2 linked regions of the Pelodiscus sinensis genome follow. The protein of the gene in region 1 interacts with the protein of each later gene in a pairwise test. Links are inferred from orthologs where the notes say so. Each region holds a gene or a part of one and is shown in the gene's direction. Other genes may lie near its edges.

Region 1 (7,622 bases):
AAGCATTTCCGAGAATGCCACCACAGAGGTCCTGGATTTCAGTCTCTTTCCTAGCAACCTAAATTTGGCCTCCAGGACATTTCTCCTACCTTTCCCTACGTCATTGGTACCTACATGTACCACGACCACCGGCTCCTCCCCAGCACTACACATAAGTCTATCTAGATGCCTCGAGAGATCCGCAACCTTCGCACCAGGCAGGCAAGTGACCATACGGTTCTCCTGGTCATCACAAACCCATCTATCTATGTTTCTAATGATTGAATCACCCACTACTAACACCTGCCTCTTCCTAACAACTGACATTCCCTCCCCCTCAGAGGTATCCTCAGTGCGAGAGGATGCCGCAACACCCTCTGGAAGTAGGGTCCCAACTATGGGATGGTTTCCCTCTGTTTCCACGGAATGCTCTGTTCCCTTGAGACTTTCATCCTCTTTAAGAGCACTGGGGCTCTCAACCTGGGACAGTACTACAGTGGGACAGTACTACAGTGTCCCGGAAAGTCTCATCAACATATCTCTCTATGGAAAGCTCTCAGTAACAGAATAGGAAGGTTATGAAAACAAATGTGAGGAGGAAGCAGCTGAATAAAATGGGAGATGAAATGCTGTCTAATTGAAAAATGAATGGAATAAATTAGATTGGTCTTAAAACACAAATATTTTTCTACTAGATAATGTGAGTACTTGGGGAGCAATGCCAGGAGGGAGGTTCAGCCTTTTCCATCTCTGTTCCCACTAATGAAGATCCTCTGCTATTTTAATTCTAACTTCCCTGACATAAAGCTGACCTTAAATATCCTATGCTATTGTAGTCCTGAGCCTCCATCTCCCGCCCATCTACACACAGCTTTATCAGTTCATCTCAGTCCTAACTTATCTATGATGTCTTTGTTGCTTTACCAAAAGACAAGATTTTTTTTCTTTTACATTTCAAATTACTGAGTCCACTCCAACCTATGCAGATGTGATCCAACAAGGTTTTAATCATATCCGCCAGTTGGACAAAGCTTTCAAAACAGTGTACCAGAGACACCGCAGAGAAATAAAGGATTTTGACCAGCACCAGTTGAAAGAGAAGCAAGAATTCCTCAGGTACAAAAAATGTGTGTGGTTTCAATTTAACATATTCTGTAATAATCTGAACACATCCAGTGATTTATTGGTGTCTGCCAAAGGTGAAACCTATTGCCTGACATTGATTTCAGAGGGTGTTGGGGAATAAGGAAATATGGGGATATTTTTGTGGTGTAACATTAGCTAATTATTCCAGAGGGATACAGAGATGTAATGTGATGTTTTACTGATGATGCTTTAGATGGAATCTGTGAGCTAATGGTCAACCAAAGGAGTTTGAGAGTATTGTTTTGTTTTGGAAAAGTGATCTTGAATTTTGTTGAGGGTAACAGGGTGATTAAGGGCACGTCTACATTGCAGGGCAAAAGCTGAATTAAGATACGCAACTTCAGCTACATCAATTGCGTAGCTGAAGTCAAAATAGCTTAATTCAGCTTTTGGCGCTATCTACACAACAGGAAGTTGAAGGAAGAACACTCTTCTTTTGACTTCCCTTATTCCTCATGAAATGAGGGTTACAGAAGTCAGAGTAAGAAGTCCACCATCTCGAAATAATTTCAATATAACGGCTTGCTGTGTAGACATGTACTTTATTTCAAAATAACACCTGTTGTTTCAAAATAATGCTGCAGTGTAGACATGCCCTAAGAAAGTTGGCTTGGAGGGGGCATTACATGTTTATGGATTTGGGGATTCAAGGGTTAATTAACATCAATTCCAAAGTGGTGGAGAAATCCACTCTTAAAATTTCTTTGATTGCTTTGGTGATTTTAGAAATCTTAGTCAAAGATAGCTTTGAACAAGTTATTTTGATTTTTTCTCTCTCGTTGTCCTTCCCATACTACAGAAAAGAGAAGCAATTGCTGTCAGAGAAAGGAGAGATGAAGAAGCTGAATCAAATGCTGACCCCTCTTCAGTTCTGACAAGACTTCAAGTCTGTCACAGAAGTGTCTTTATGCAGAAACAGCCATAAATCAAGCTGCACTCTGAGCAAACCAGAATTCAAGATTCCCCGACCATAAATTGGCATAAATGTCCATTCAGACTTTCATTTGCATCTGAAGGGTGTATTTTAGGCAGCCCACTCCAAAGCTTTCTTCATCAATTAGAACAGACAAACCTGAAAAAATGGGAAGAACTGAGTTCAAAAGTCTGACTGATTTCTAATCTCTTTGATCTGTAAAACTGGACTGGAAAAATATCACAAGATTTCAACAATAGAAGTAATATGAGGATTAAAAAAAGTCACTGGAATATTTTTAATGGTTTCATAGTTTGGTTCTGTGTCAAAGATTTGAGCTGTTTTTTATTTTGTCTGAACTGTCTTGGCCCAAGCTGAAAGGCAGTGTAGTTGAGACTCAGTGCATCGCCTCTTGCCAACAATATGTGGTAATGGAGTTGGGCTGGCTAGCTGCAGACCTTCCCAGAAAGGAGGAAAGTTGCAGAAGGCTCCTCTGTGCTGGTGAACCCTGCAATGAATCCAATCCTGTGTCGAGTTTCCAGTGTATAAAATAGAATCCCACTCATTAGTGGTATGAGATTGTATAGCACTTTACAGCTTTGAAGTTCAAGTGCTGTAGATCAACATTATCATTTTAGCAGCACTTTTGGATGAATGGTAGCCTTTCCAGCTTGGTCAACTCATCTGCCTCCTAGAAGAGCCTGTCTATAAACAGGAAAAACAGGGCAAGGTTTGTCTTTTGGGTTTTTTGTTTTTAAATGGGAGGCTAAAGCTAAGCCTTGTCTACACAGGAAAAATATCATCTTTATTGGCATAATTTAGCTATTCCAGAATAATTCCTCCCCACACTATTGGTGCTACGTCTACACTGGCCCCTTTTCCGAAAGGGGCATGCTAATTTTCAACTTCAGAATAGGGAAATCCGCGGGGAATTTAAATATCCCCCGCGGGATTTAAATAAAGATGTCCGCCGCTTTTTTCCGGCTTGGGGAAAAGGCGGAAAAAAGCGTCTAGACTGGCCCGATCCGCCGGAATGAAGCCCTTTTCCGGAGGATCTCTTATTCCTACTTCGAAGTAGGAATAAGAGATCCTCCGGAAAAGGGATTTATTCTGGCGGATCGGGCCAGTCTGGACGCTTTTTTCCGCCTTTTCCCCAAGCCGGAAAAAAGCGGCGGACATCTTTATTTAAATCCCGCGGGGGATATTTAAATCCCCCGCGGATTTCCCTATTCTGAAGTTGAAAATTAGCATGCCCCTTTCGGAAAAGGGGCCAGTGTAGACGTAGCCTTGCAGAATAAAAGTGAACTTTTATTCTGGAATAATGTCCAGATGGGGAATATCTTATTCCATCTGGAAACAACAAACTGCAGCCAATGGGAGCTGCAAGGCTATGGACATGTAAAGTAAACAAAGCTGTGCAGTCCTGCCTCCCAAGTTTAGAAAATGCTGTCTTATTCCATAAAAGCTATGTAAAGCAATTCCCCCTCCCGCCGCCCAGGGTCTTAGGCTCCTAAACCCACATTCAGGTACCTAAATACATGGCTTGATTTTTCAAAAGTGCTGAGCACTCTCACACTCCCATTTAGGAAGATTACAATTTGCTTTTTCCATGTTTCATTTTCTGACATAGCAAATAACAGACATGCTTAAATATACCTCTGCACTATTGGGGACTGAGTTTGGGATTTTTCAAAAGTGCCTTGAAAGTTATTAGGATTTGTCCTGCTTCCACTCAAGTGGCTTCAAAAATCTTATCATAACTAAAGTCAGCAGCTTTGTTATACAGCCATTCCTTTTCTATAGGGATAGGGATATATGTTATGAAAATACTAGAAGGCTGCCCTGGCATTTCTTGGGTCCTTAACTCAATTAATTTGTTTTTTGAAAAATAATATGGTGGGATGATGGATGAGGGGTTCAATATGCAGGTTGAACTGGGGAGAGAGAACTACCCCAGTCTTCTCTCAGCACAGTAGCTTGGGGTCAGACAAGAAGCGCCTCTCTAGGGCTGCTGCAGCTCCAGCGGGCACAGCCGAGGGATGGGTGCATTTCCCCTGGCTGAGCTAGGTCTAGGTTCATCTGCCTCTTGTGTTTCCTAGCCAGAGTGAGGAGAGCAGCAAACTGTATACTTTCCCTGGAAGAAAAGCAAGCAATGTTCCTGTACAAATTGGGGGGGGGGGATAAAGATCCCACCCACACTAAAGGGTGGCTTGGGGGTGGGGCAGTCTCTGGGGGGTGTGCCCCCTGCTAACTAGCCACTTTCACCTGCCTGGTGCCTCCTTCCCACCCCAGGGCCAGCAGCTGCTCTCAACCCAGCGAGAGCCAGTCAGGGCCGGGGACAGCAAGTGATGGAGAGGGCGGGGCCTCGGGGAAGGGGCGGGGCAGATCTTGGGTGTAAAAAGATTGGAGACCACTGAGAACGCTTCAGTCAGTCTCTGTCCCTCCCGCCCGACTCTACCATTCTGGGCTGTGGAAGGGGGGGGGGAGGTCCGACACCGGATACCGATTCATAGCTTGAAACTCTGTCAGGGCCGCTGTACACGGATCGTTCCATTCGTGAGCAGCATCCGGCCGGGCGGGTGTATTTTAACCCAGGCCCTCAAACAGACCAGCGTTCTCCCGGCTCCCTGCCTTCCCCTCTTCCCCAGTGGTAGAATCCAACCTCTTTCTTCCCGGTGGTAGGGTCCCTTCGTAAACAGCTGTGGACGTCGCCGCTGTCGGTGACCACTGCGCGTGCGCGAGGCAGCGTTGTCGTGTCAGAGACTGAACTCCGGGTGCGCGCGCTCCCGGGCAATCGCAGACCTTCGCCTCAGCCACTTTTGGCGGGAAAGGGAGACGCGTTTATCCCCGGCCCGTCTGCAACGAACCGCCAGTAACGGCCGGGCGGGGCAGGTGATCTGAGACTGCGAGGCAGAGAGCGGCCAGTTCAGCTAGCGTCGGATCCAGCCCGACCTCGCTGCGCCTGGCCAGAGCCCGCGTGCCCCACACAGAGAAATAGCGCTACGGCCCCTGGGCTTGAACAGGAGATCGGCCTAGCAAGGGGGCCTGGTCTAGTTAGGTTAACCTGGCCCCCGCTGTACTGACAGCTAATTTTTCCATCCACATAGCGCCTGCCTCCTGGAGAGGTGGATTAAATACAGCAACGGGGAAACCTGCTCCTAACATAGGAAGCGGCTGTATTTCACCCTCGCTGTAATGGCGCGGTTGCTGTGCTGCAGGTGTTCCCTGACAACACGTAGGATTTATTATCCTGGAGGTGTGGAACTAAATATAAAGGGGCAATTACTCTGGTTAAGACTGGAGCACAACAGAAAAGATTCACACTTTTCCCTTGTCAAGACACTCCCACCCCTCCTCTCCCAACCCCACGTTCTCTCTCAACCTTCATTTCCCATCCTCACACCTTGCTCCATATTGCTCTGTGTGCTTGGGGCCCTTATCTCAGTGTGCCAGGGAACAATAATGCATGCCACACTTGTAAAAACAAAATACAGGACTATGTAGCACTTTAAAGACTAACAAGATGGTTTATTAGATGATGAGCTTTCGTGGGCCAGACCCACTTCCTTAGATCAAATAGTGGAAGAAAATAGTCACAACCATATATATCAAAGGATACAATTAAAAAAAATGAACACATATGAAAAGGACAAATCAAATTTCAGAACAGAAGAGGGTTCTGAAATTTGATTTGTCCTTTTCATATGTGTTCATTTTTTTTAATTGTATCCTTTGGTATATATGGTTGTGACTATTTTCTTCCACTATTTGATCTGAGGAAGTGGGTCTGGCCCACGAAAGCTCATCATCTAATAAACCATCTTGTTAGTCTTTAAAGTGCTACATAGTCCTGTATTTTGTTTCAGCTACACCAGACTAACACAGCTACATTTCTATCACTATTGTAAGGACAAAACATTCTTCAAGATCAGTTCGTCTTCTGGGTGCCTTTGTGCCTGATTTTTGGAGTTGGTCTGTGTAAGTTTTTGGGTATAACTCCAAGGTGGCTGGGGGGCAGAACCACATTACTATAGCAGAAGCACTGAAAGAAAAGGGCAGTGTTTCTACTTCTTCACTTCTGAACAGGGTGCATTATAATTCCCCCTACATTCCTTGCTGGCCAGCAGAAAGATACAGTTATGGCTCTTCTTACTCTGCCAATTTTGCATTGCTATGTATCCAAAGGGGAGTAGTCACCTTGCCCTTTTGAATGCAAGTAATGCAGTGCATTTCAAAAACAAGTAGACCTGTGGTACTTTAGGATATGTCTACACAGTAACATGTATCTTGAAATAAGCTACACAATTTGAGCTATGCAAATTGTGTAGCTTATTTCAAAATAGCTTATTTTGAAATTTGGTGCTGTCTACACAGCACTAATTTAAAAATAAATTGCTATGCCTGTATCTTCGTTAATCCTTATGCAATAAGGTTTATAGGAAGCTGGAATAAGAAACACATTATTTCAAATGAATTTCCAGATAGCAGGCATGCTGTTAAGACATGCAGAACGCTAGTTTGGGATAATGGACATTATTCCAAAATAGTGCCATTGTGTAGACATACCCTTAGGCTATGTCTACACTCGCGGCTTCTTGTGTGAGTAATATGCAAATGAGGCTAAGCGTGGAATATCGCTGAGCCTCATTTGCATACCTAATGAGCCACCTTTTTTTCAGAAGAGGCTCTTGCGCAAGAAGGAGCATCTACACTGCACCTTCTTGCGCAAGAAAAACCTTCTGGCACAATGCCGTTACACCTGTTACTTTTTAGGAAGAACGGCCTTGCGCAAGAAGGTGCAGTGTAGACGCTCCTTCTTGCGCAAGAGCCTCTTCTGAAAAAAATGGTGGCTCATTAGGTATGCAAATGAGGCTCAGCGATATTCCACGCTTAGCCTCATTTGCATATTACTCACACAAGAAGCCGTGAGTGTAGACATAGCCCTAGAGACTAACTATAGAATCATGAGCTTCTTCAAATGAGCTGGAGTAGAAATAACATAAACCAAGATATATAACAAAAAAAACCAAAAAAGTACTGGTCAATTGTAGGACTGGTGCTAATTAGGCTAATGAAATGGACTGGAAGTGTCCCATTCTTAGCCTTTGATGTAAAAATGCAGTTGTTAAAGGCAGAGGAGACTGGCTTTAACATGCAACGCATTTCAAGACAGGGAAGGGATTTATTTTTAGAAAGTGCAGAGAGGGGTTTTTAACATGTCCTTTGCCTTTTACATTATGTTTTTCTTCTTCTAGTATCTGAAGACAAAGGTCTAATTAATGTTACTTCAGGAAACACTTTACCGTTTGTTAGTAGTATGTTAAAGGAAAATGTATACAGATGACTACATTTTCATCCCTGTTCAGGTGTGATGAGAGGATAGTTTCATTTGTCCATAGGAAAGAAGTTCATTGTGGTACCATATGGAGATGTTTTGGGAAAAATTAATTTACAACTCATTTTAATATTTTATTAGAAAGTAAGATAAGTTACTCCATTTTATTTTTACTTCCAAAGAACTACCTCTAAAATTACACCAGGTTTTTTTTCCCTTATTTTTTCCCATCTTCTCTAACCAGCAAGA
Region 2 (7,192 bases), about 1.3 Mb from region 1:
CCTACCAGAGCGGGGTGCCCATTGGACCACTAGGAAGATTTGAGGACTGGCACTGGCCCCAAGGTAAATTGAGTTTGAGACCCCTAGTGTAGAGGGAGGGGGGAGTGAGAGAGTGTGTTTTCAGGAAGGGGTGGGACCCTCCACGATGTAAAGATTAATTTGTCTGCATTGGTCCCTTTCTTTTCCTCCAGGAATTGAGCCTGGTCATATCCCTGGCTCCGTGAACATCCCCTTCTTGGATTTTCTCACAGAAGCTGGCTTTGAGAAGACTCCTCAGGCGATCCGCAGCTTATTCCAGGAGAAGAAAGTGGACCTTTCAAAGCCAGTGGTAGCCACATGTGGCTCGGGAGTCACTGCCTGCCACGTGGCCTTGGGAGCCTACCTTTGTGGCAAGCCAGAGGTGGCTATCTATGATGGTGCCTGGGTGGAGTGGTACATGCGTGCACGGCCTGGAGAAGTCATCTCTGAGGGCAAAGGCAAGACCCTCTGAAGCACTGCTTCTGCCCCTTCAGTACAGACAAATTGCCTTGAAACAAGCTCTGGGAGATGGTCTTAGCCTTTCCTGTTTTAAAATCATAGTGTGCTACTGAGTGAAGGTCTTGGGTGACAAATCTAAACATAAATGGTTCTAACGCCTTACCCTTTCCCTCCCCCCACTAATTTTTCTGGGCATGGAAGATGGCTTTTTATACCATCTTCGTGGAAGGGTGGGGTGGGGAAGCACTGATCATAGGATGGTGGGATAATTAATTGAGGCTGGATTTCTCCATGGGGATGATCTCTCCTGATTAGACACTGTGTGAGGAATATGAGTAGAGGAGCTTTTTGAGTATCTCCTCGCACGCGGACTCTTATTGGATTTGACCTCAGCCAGTATTGCATCCACCATTGTAATCCTGTTTCCTTTTTTAAGAATATATTTCAAAGATTATGTAATAAAAACACTTTTTAATATGTTTAAAGGTCTTCTCCTGTACTGAGCCTGGGACAGTACAGATCAGAGGCATCTTGCTCTGTCCCCCTCCCTGGGGACTGTTAGCCCAGCTGCGGGTGGAATTTCTGGCTCAGGTAGACATGGCCACGCTAGCTGTGATTAAGATAGTGTGCTAAAACCAGTAGTTGTGGTAGCAGGGGGGTGCAGAAAGCTGTTGTAATGAGGTGAGTTTAGTGTGTGCTTCATCCGTGGTAGGTATATTCAGTTTCCCCTGGGGAGCCCTGTAACTCCAATAAGAAAGGGACAGCATACGTCTCTGTTTGTCTAAGTCTGTTCATGTCCTGCAGCCAATAACAAGCATGCAGTTGTGTGACTTTCAGCTGCTCTGCTCCAATTCAGCATGACACTGTATGCTGTAGACAGCATTGTAGCCATGTTGGTCCCAGATTATTAGAAACAAGGTGGGCAAGGTAATAGCTTTTATTGGATCCGTTTCCCTTGGCAAGAGAGACTAACTTATACAGAGCTCTTCTTCAGGTACTTCCACTGACTTGCACAGGACTGTGCCCATGCTTAAAACTAGTTTTGTGCTTCAGTACCTTGTCCTAGGGATGAGCTACCCCTAAAGGCAGACATTTTCTCAAGGCTACTACTGAAGGTCTTGAAGCTGAAAATTGCCCCAGCAAATAATGTCGAGGTATTTGATTCAGTGTGTTCCAAAACTGAATTAATCTCTTGGTTACAGCTGTACAAGCACATTGCCATCAGTAAGTTTGATTAAAGGAAGGTTCCTGTTGGTCATAGCACCCTTTATCCTAGATTACTCTGAAGAGAGAAGTGTATGTGTGGGTGTTTGACTTCTGATTAATTCTCAGTGAGCAGCTGGGATGCATTACAAATGGTGAGTTACATGTTTACAATTTGCCCTTCCTCCTATGATGACTTCGTTCTTATGGTAGTCCAGGTCTGGGCACTAGAGCTGACAGCACCCCTCATGCTATGAATATAGACTTACCCTAGACCTGGGTTTCTCAAACTTCTGACAATGAAAATTACTAGGAGCAGGGGCCCCAACCTGAGCCCCCCTGCCATAGATGGGGAGAGAAGGGGCCAAAGATGAAGACAAAGGGCTTCGGCCTCAGGTGGGAGGCCTGTAACCTGAGCCTTGCCTGAGAGATGGGACTTTGGCTTTGACTCCAGGGCCCAGCAAGTCTAATGCTAACCCTGGCAACTAGGGATGTAGAATCCTGGTTAGGTTAACCAGTTAACAGGCCTGGGCGGGCTGGCTAAACCCATCATTGAGTGTCACGGCTGGAGCAGCCCCCTGCCGGTTGACCGGGTACCCAGGCAAGTGTGCCAGGGGCATGCTTACTGGGTAATCGGTTAACACTTTGCATCCTTCCTGATGATCATTTGAAAATGGAGTCATGACCCAATTTGGGTCCTGATCCACCATTTGAGAACTACCTCTGGTCTAGAGTAGCAGGGAGCCTAAGCCTGTGGCTTGCCTTGCTTGCCCTCCCTCTTCTCCCACTGTGGGAGGAGGCTGTGGCTTGAGCACCAGCTGACTCTCACTGTTGCTGGGGGGTGGGGAGGAGACCTGAACGTCGTGGGCCCAATCAAGGCAAGATGCAGACCTGATTGGGCTCACGGACTCTGCCTGGCAGGGGGGAAGGAAGCAGTGCCTCATGGCTCCCCATGATTCAAGGAAGTGATTCTTGCAGGCACCATCTCCTGTCGCTCCCGTTGACTGGGAATCATGGCCACTGGGAGCAACGGGGGTGGGAAGAAGGGGTAGAGAGAGATGGGGAAGGTGGTGCCTGCAGGGAGCATGAGGATCTGTGTGGAGATACTTGTAATCTCCCCCACCCCAGGAGTTGTGCCAGGTAGGTGCCCCCAGACCCATATCCCCAGCTTGCTCCTGCACCTACACTCTGCTGCAGTGGTGGGCTAAGATGGGGGTTCTCCCAAAAATGCTGTAAAAGCTCCATGGCCTCAACAACTGGTTTTCTGCTTATAAAATCCAGGGCCAGTGCTTGGGGCTAGCAAGAGTGCAACTACATGGTAATGAAGCAAAAATTGCTCAGACTTTGGCTTCAGCCCCAGGTGGTGGGGCTCAGCTTTCTGCCCTGGGCCCCAATGAGTCTACCACTGGCCCTGCTTGGTGGACCCTCCTAAAACCTGTTTGAGGCCCCCATGGGTACCTCAGTCCCTGGTTGAAAACTGCTGGCCTAGAGGCTAATTAACAGCTGAAAATAGCTAGAGGGTATATTCCAGCTATGCTATCCCCTTCCCACCCCTCCAGCAGACCCTGTACACTGGGGCCTGTAAGAGGTGTGATGTATTCTGGTGTAATAAAGTTGGGGATCTTTGCAGTGTTTTACATGAATCTTATGCGTGCCTCAGTTTCCCTGTGTGCTGTGTGGAACAAGCTGGTGGGAGACGGTTTGTTAAGGAGGCCCAGGTTTGACTTGGCCTAGCAACCAGGACCCCTGGACAATGGCCTGGAGATGGGCAACCCTAGCGACCAGTAAGCTGGTGACCAAAAAGCCCAGCTCAGCTAGGCAGTCAGCCATTTTTGACCAATGGGAAGACGTGGGGGCAGAACAGAGGCAGGAGTCTGAGACTAGTTCTTCCCCATTCTTCGGAAGCAGAAGTTGCATTGTTGCCCCTGTTGTCCTCTTGCCCTGGGCCTGCAGAGCTGGGAGTGAGGCTATTGTGAGTAAGTGGAAGATGGCCCAGGAGAGCCCCAATGCAAGGATCACAGACTTCCTCAGCGAGCTGGCAAGCTACGAGAAGAACATGGTCTGGACCATCCACAAGTACCATGTGTACAGAAAAGCAGGTTCTGTGATATCAAAATATCCAAGCAAAATAAAGGGCTGAAGTGAGAGGACCCTGGTGACCTGACCAGCAAATTCCTGCCAGTGGGGGGAAAGGATGTGTTTTCCAGGGAATTCCTTTAGGCTGGGTAACATCTGGGGAGAAATCTGTTGCCTTTATGACCCTTTTATGTAGTAAAAGGACTGAATTGCACCAGACAATGGGATAAAAAAGGTGGAATGAGGATGACCCAGGAAAAACCCCCTGAAAGGTTAATAGACATGTACCTATTCAAATTTTTATACTTCAGTGCTGCACTTTATGGCTATTACCCTGGCCAAAAATGGTCAAGTGTGCTTGCTTGCTTTTTTTTTTTTTTTTTTTTTTTTTTTTTTTTTGGCGGGAGAGTCACTCTGGGCCAATGTCAGCCTTTAGGGAGAGAAGCTACTAACATTGTTCTGTCAGATATGGATGGCCATTAATATGTCAGGTGACCTCTGGGTGAGGTAGAAGCATAATTGGATGCATAGATAAAGCTTTTGTGTTTCACCTAGCCCGGGGTTATGTGCAACTTGACTTCTCTCTTCCTTCTCAAAACCACCCCCCAGAGCAGGGCATTTAGAAGAGAGAGAGGCAGGTGCTGTTTGAATGAATTAATCCCCTGGATGGGGTGGGCATAGGGGAAAAGCCTGGGACTGAATGGATCTAGAGAAGCACATCCAGGAAAGAGGCAGGTTTAGTACAGGTGGGGGTTAGAAGTCATAAGTGATTATTACAGTAGATACCTTTCAAGAAGCCAGGGATTTGATGTTGGCCACTGGTCTGCTACCTCCAGGGGCATCCATGTAGTCTCAAAGAAAGAAATGGTCTGAACCTTCCATGAGCACCTTGCTGCACTATCAGAGAAGTGAAGGCTATGATGCGGTGTAAAAGGAGAACAGGAACCAGATCTGTCTGGTTCAGCATTGGAAGTGTTAGCCCCAACTGTTCTGTGCCCATGTGCAGGATTTTTCCTCAACCCAAAGCAACACTGTCTGCACTACCCAGAGCTGGTGTATAAGCTGCACCTTCCAAAATCCTCTCATATCCACCGCCACCAGCATTAGTGCTAATCCTCCTGGCATCTGCTGGTGCCAAAAATGACCTGGGGCTGCAGAGACAGTGAGCTATGCAAAACTACAGCTCCCAGGATTCTTGGGTGACCAATGGCAGAGATGATACAATGTGGTGATTAATATTAATAGCCTTTACCTATTGCTTCAAAGTACTCTACGGCTGTCAACTGAATAGCAGTGCCCAGAGAATGAATCTAAGGCAAGCCTATCATCCTGGCATCCCTGGAACTGTGGGGAGGGAGTTCAGCACGAGGAGCTGGCTTTTGCGGCTTGAGCCCATCTCTAGTAAAAGCAGACTAGGGATGGGCTCAGTGTAATGTCATTGTCCACAATCTTCCTTCCCCAGAGATCCCATCGCTGCCCGCACTGAGCACAAGGGACAAGCAGCCAACTCCGAGGTGGAAGGCACCGGATAAACTTCAGATCCCAGAATCCTCCAGTGCCCAACACCTGCAGTGGCGTCTCCAGCGGGGGGCCCTGGGCAGAGAGAGGGAGCGATGAGGATGGAAGGCGGGGAGGAAGCGCAGGCTGCAGAGCGGGTGTCGTACACCTGGGAGAGCCCCCCGCCGCAGCCCGCGGACGGCAGCCGGGCTAAGTGGGTGCGGCTCAATGTCGGGGGCACGGTTTTCCTCACCACCAGGCAGACCCTGTGCCGGGAGCAGAAATCTTTCCTCTGCCGCTTGTGCCAGGGGGAGGAGCTGCAGTCAGACCGGGTAAGCGGGGAGCCGGTGCCTGCTCTCCCTCCGCCCGGGGAGCGCCGACCCTGCGTGTGTGTGGGGGGCGGACAACAGCGCAGGCCCGGCTGGGAGGAGCAGATCCAGGCGGAGGAAGGTGAAGGGTCCCCGGGCAGTATCAGGAGGGAGCGGGCTGGAGAGACAGGCTGATGGACGGCGCGCACCGGCCCAGGGCAATGGAAGAGAGACCCCTCGTTAAAACACCTCCCCTCTCCCCCGGCGAGCGCGCCCCCTGCTTTCCAGCTGTGCAGAGCCCCCGGGGGTTTTGGACCGGACCCCTCTGTGGAAGGGGAGTTGTTTCTGGCTTAATAGTGGGGACCAAACAGGCCTGCCACCTTCCCTCCCCCGATAGTGTGTGGCTCAGCCTAACCCCTGCTTCCCCATCAGCTGTCTGGGACACTGCACCAGCCCCACAAGAAATGCCCCCTCTTCTCCCACGTGCCCTAGCCCCCCACAGCTACATAGGACTCAAGTCTGTGCTTTACTGTATGGGGCCATGATTACTAGCCTCCCATAAAAGAGAGAGAAGGTGAACGAGGTATGTTTTTATTGCACCAGCTTCTTTTGGTGACAGATAAGCTTCGCAGCTTACACACAGCGCTTCTCCCATTCTCCTCCTCCCAATACAGGCTGAAGTGGTAGGAGCCCTGAGCTGAGACTCCACATGGTATCTTTTTATTCTGGGATCTCCCTGGTAACCGTATAGAATAGTATATACTGTACCTTTCAGGGAATTTAGGGAAGCTGATGGGGGGCTGCCAGCCCTCCCTGTTTCCAACTCCCTGCCCCCAAAGGACAGGCTGCTTTTCCAGGAAATCCTACAAGTAATGGACAAAGCAGGCGGACAAATGACATTATAAAGGAGCATTGCACTACTTTAAATGAGAATGTGTTCTCATAGATAAGCAACGGAACAATGTTCACCAGGACAATGTTAAGTAGGAGTTACTGTACAGGAAAGGGTTAGGGATCTTCATTTCAGGGGTGAAATACCAAGGACCTAAGGCCTCAGCAGGATCAATTCAGCCATTTGCTCTTTCAAGGGAGATGCACTGAAAATACTGTGCAGTTGTTCAGCATGCATATTAGGATGGAGACCTATAACAAAAAAGTTCTGCCTGAATGTTAACAATCCCAGCACACTTTTAATTAGAGATTGGTTTAACATTCCTCTTCTCCCTGCTGTTTTGTAGTGTAATATGTGCCGGTTGGCTGCAGCCATCCACCCCAGAGATGGCTGCTTTTCTGTGGTGCCATATGAATGCAGTTTGGGAAGTGCTTTGGGATCCAAAGTTAGCTCTTGTATGCTACTTTTAACCTGTAGCTCTCAAATCAGGTTAGGAATTTTTTGATAAAATGTTTTTTCCTTAGAAAATGCCAGTTTGTCAAAATCAAAATTGTTCCTGGGAAAGGGGTCAGTTTTGACAAATTTCCTGGGGGTTTTTGGAGGTAGGGAGGGAGTTTTGGAACTGCTGAAATGTCTCATTTTGACATTTTCAAAATGAAAATAATTCTGAGCTTTGGATCAAATTTACTTTGCTTTGAAATTTAAGTTATTTTAAGAAAAAAATGTTTTAAAATAGTCA

Evidence for each region. The genes of interacting proteins can lie anywhere in the genome.
Region 2: the proteins of DMC1 (region 1) and KCTD17 interact in binary tests that used the Homo sapiens proteins (3 or more experiments, as listed by UniProt). The two-hybrid records come from large-scale screens. The link is inferred for Pelodiscus sinensis from reciprocal best matches to the Homo sapiens genes DMC1 and KCTD17.

Annotation. Positions count from the first base shown.
Region 1 is NC_134711.1:91,668,453-91,676,074, forward strand, and holds the start of DMC1 (meiotic recombination protein DMC1/LIM15 homolog), read left to right. Parts: upstream 1-4,619; 5' UTR 4,620-5,163; intron 5,164-5,810; exon of another isoform or gene 5,811-6,016; intron 6,017-7,622. UniProt on the Homo sapiens protein: Participates in meiotic recombination, specifically in homologous strand assimilation, which is required for the resolution of meiotic double-strand breaks.
Region 2 is NC_134711.1:92,999,093-93,006,284, reverse strand, and holds the start of KCTD17 (BTB/POZ domain-containing protein KCTD17), read left to right. Parts: upstream 1-4,157; 5' UTR 4,158-5,369; coding exon 5,370-5,585; intron 5,586-7,192. Other genes in the region: MPST (3-mercaptopyruvate sulfurtransferase), read left to right, coding at 192-490. UniProt on the Homo sapiens protein: Substrate-adapter for CUL3-RING ubiquitin ligase complexes which mediates the ubiquitination and subsequent proteasomal degradation of TCHP, a protein involved in ciliogenesis down-regulation.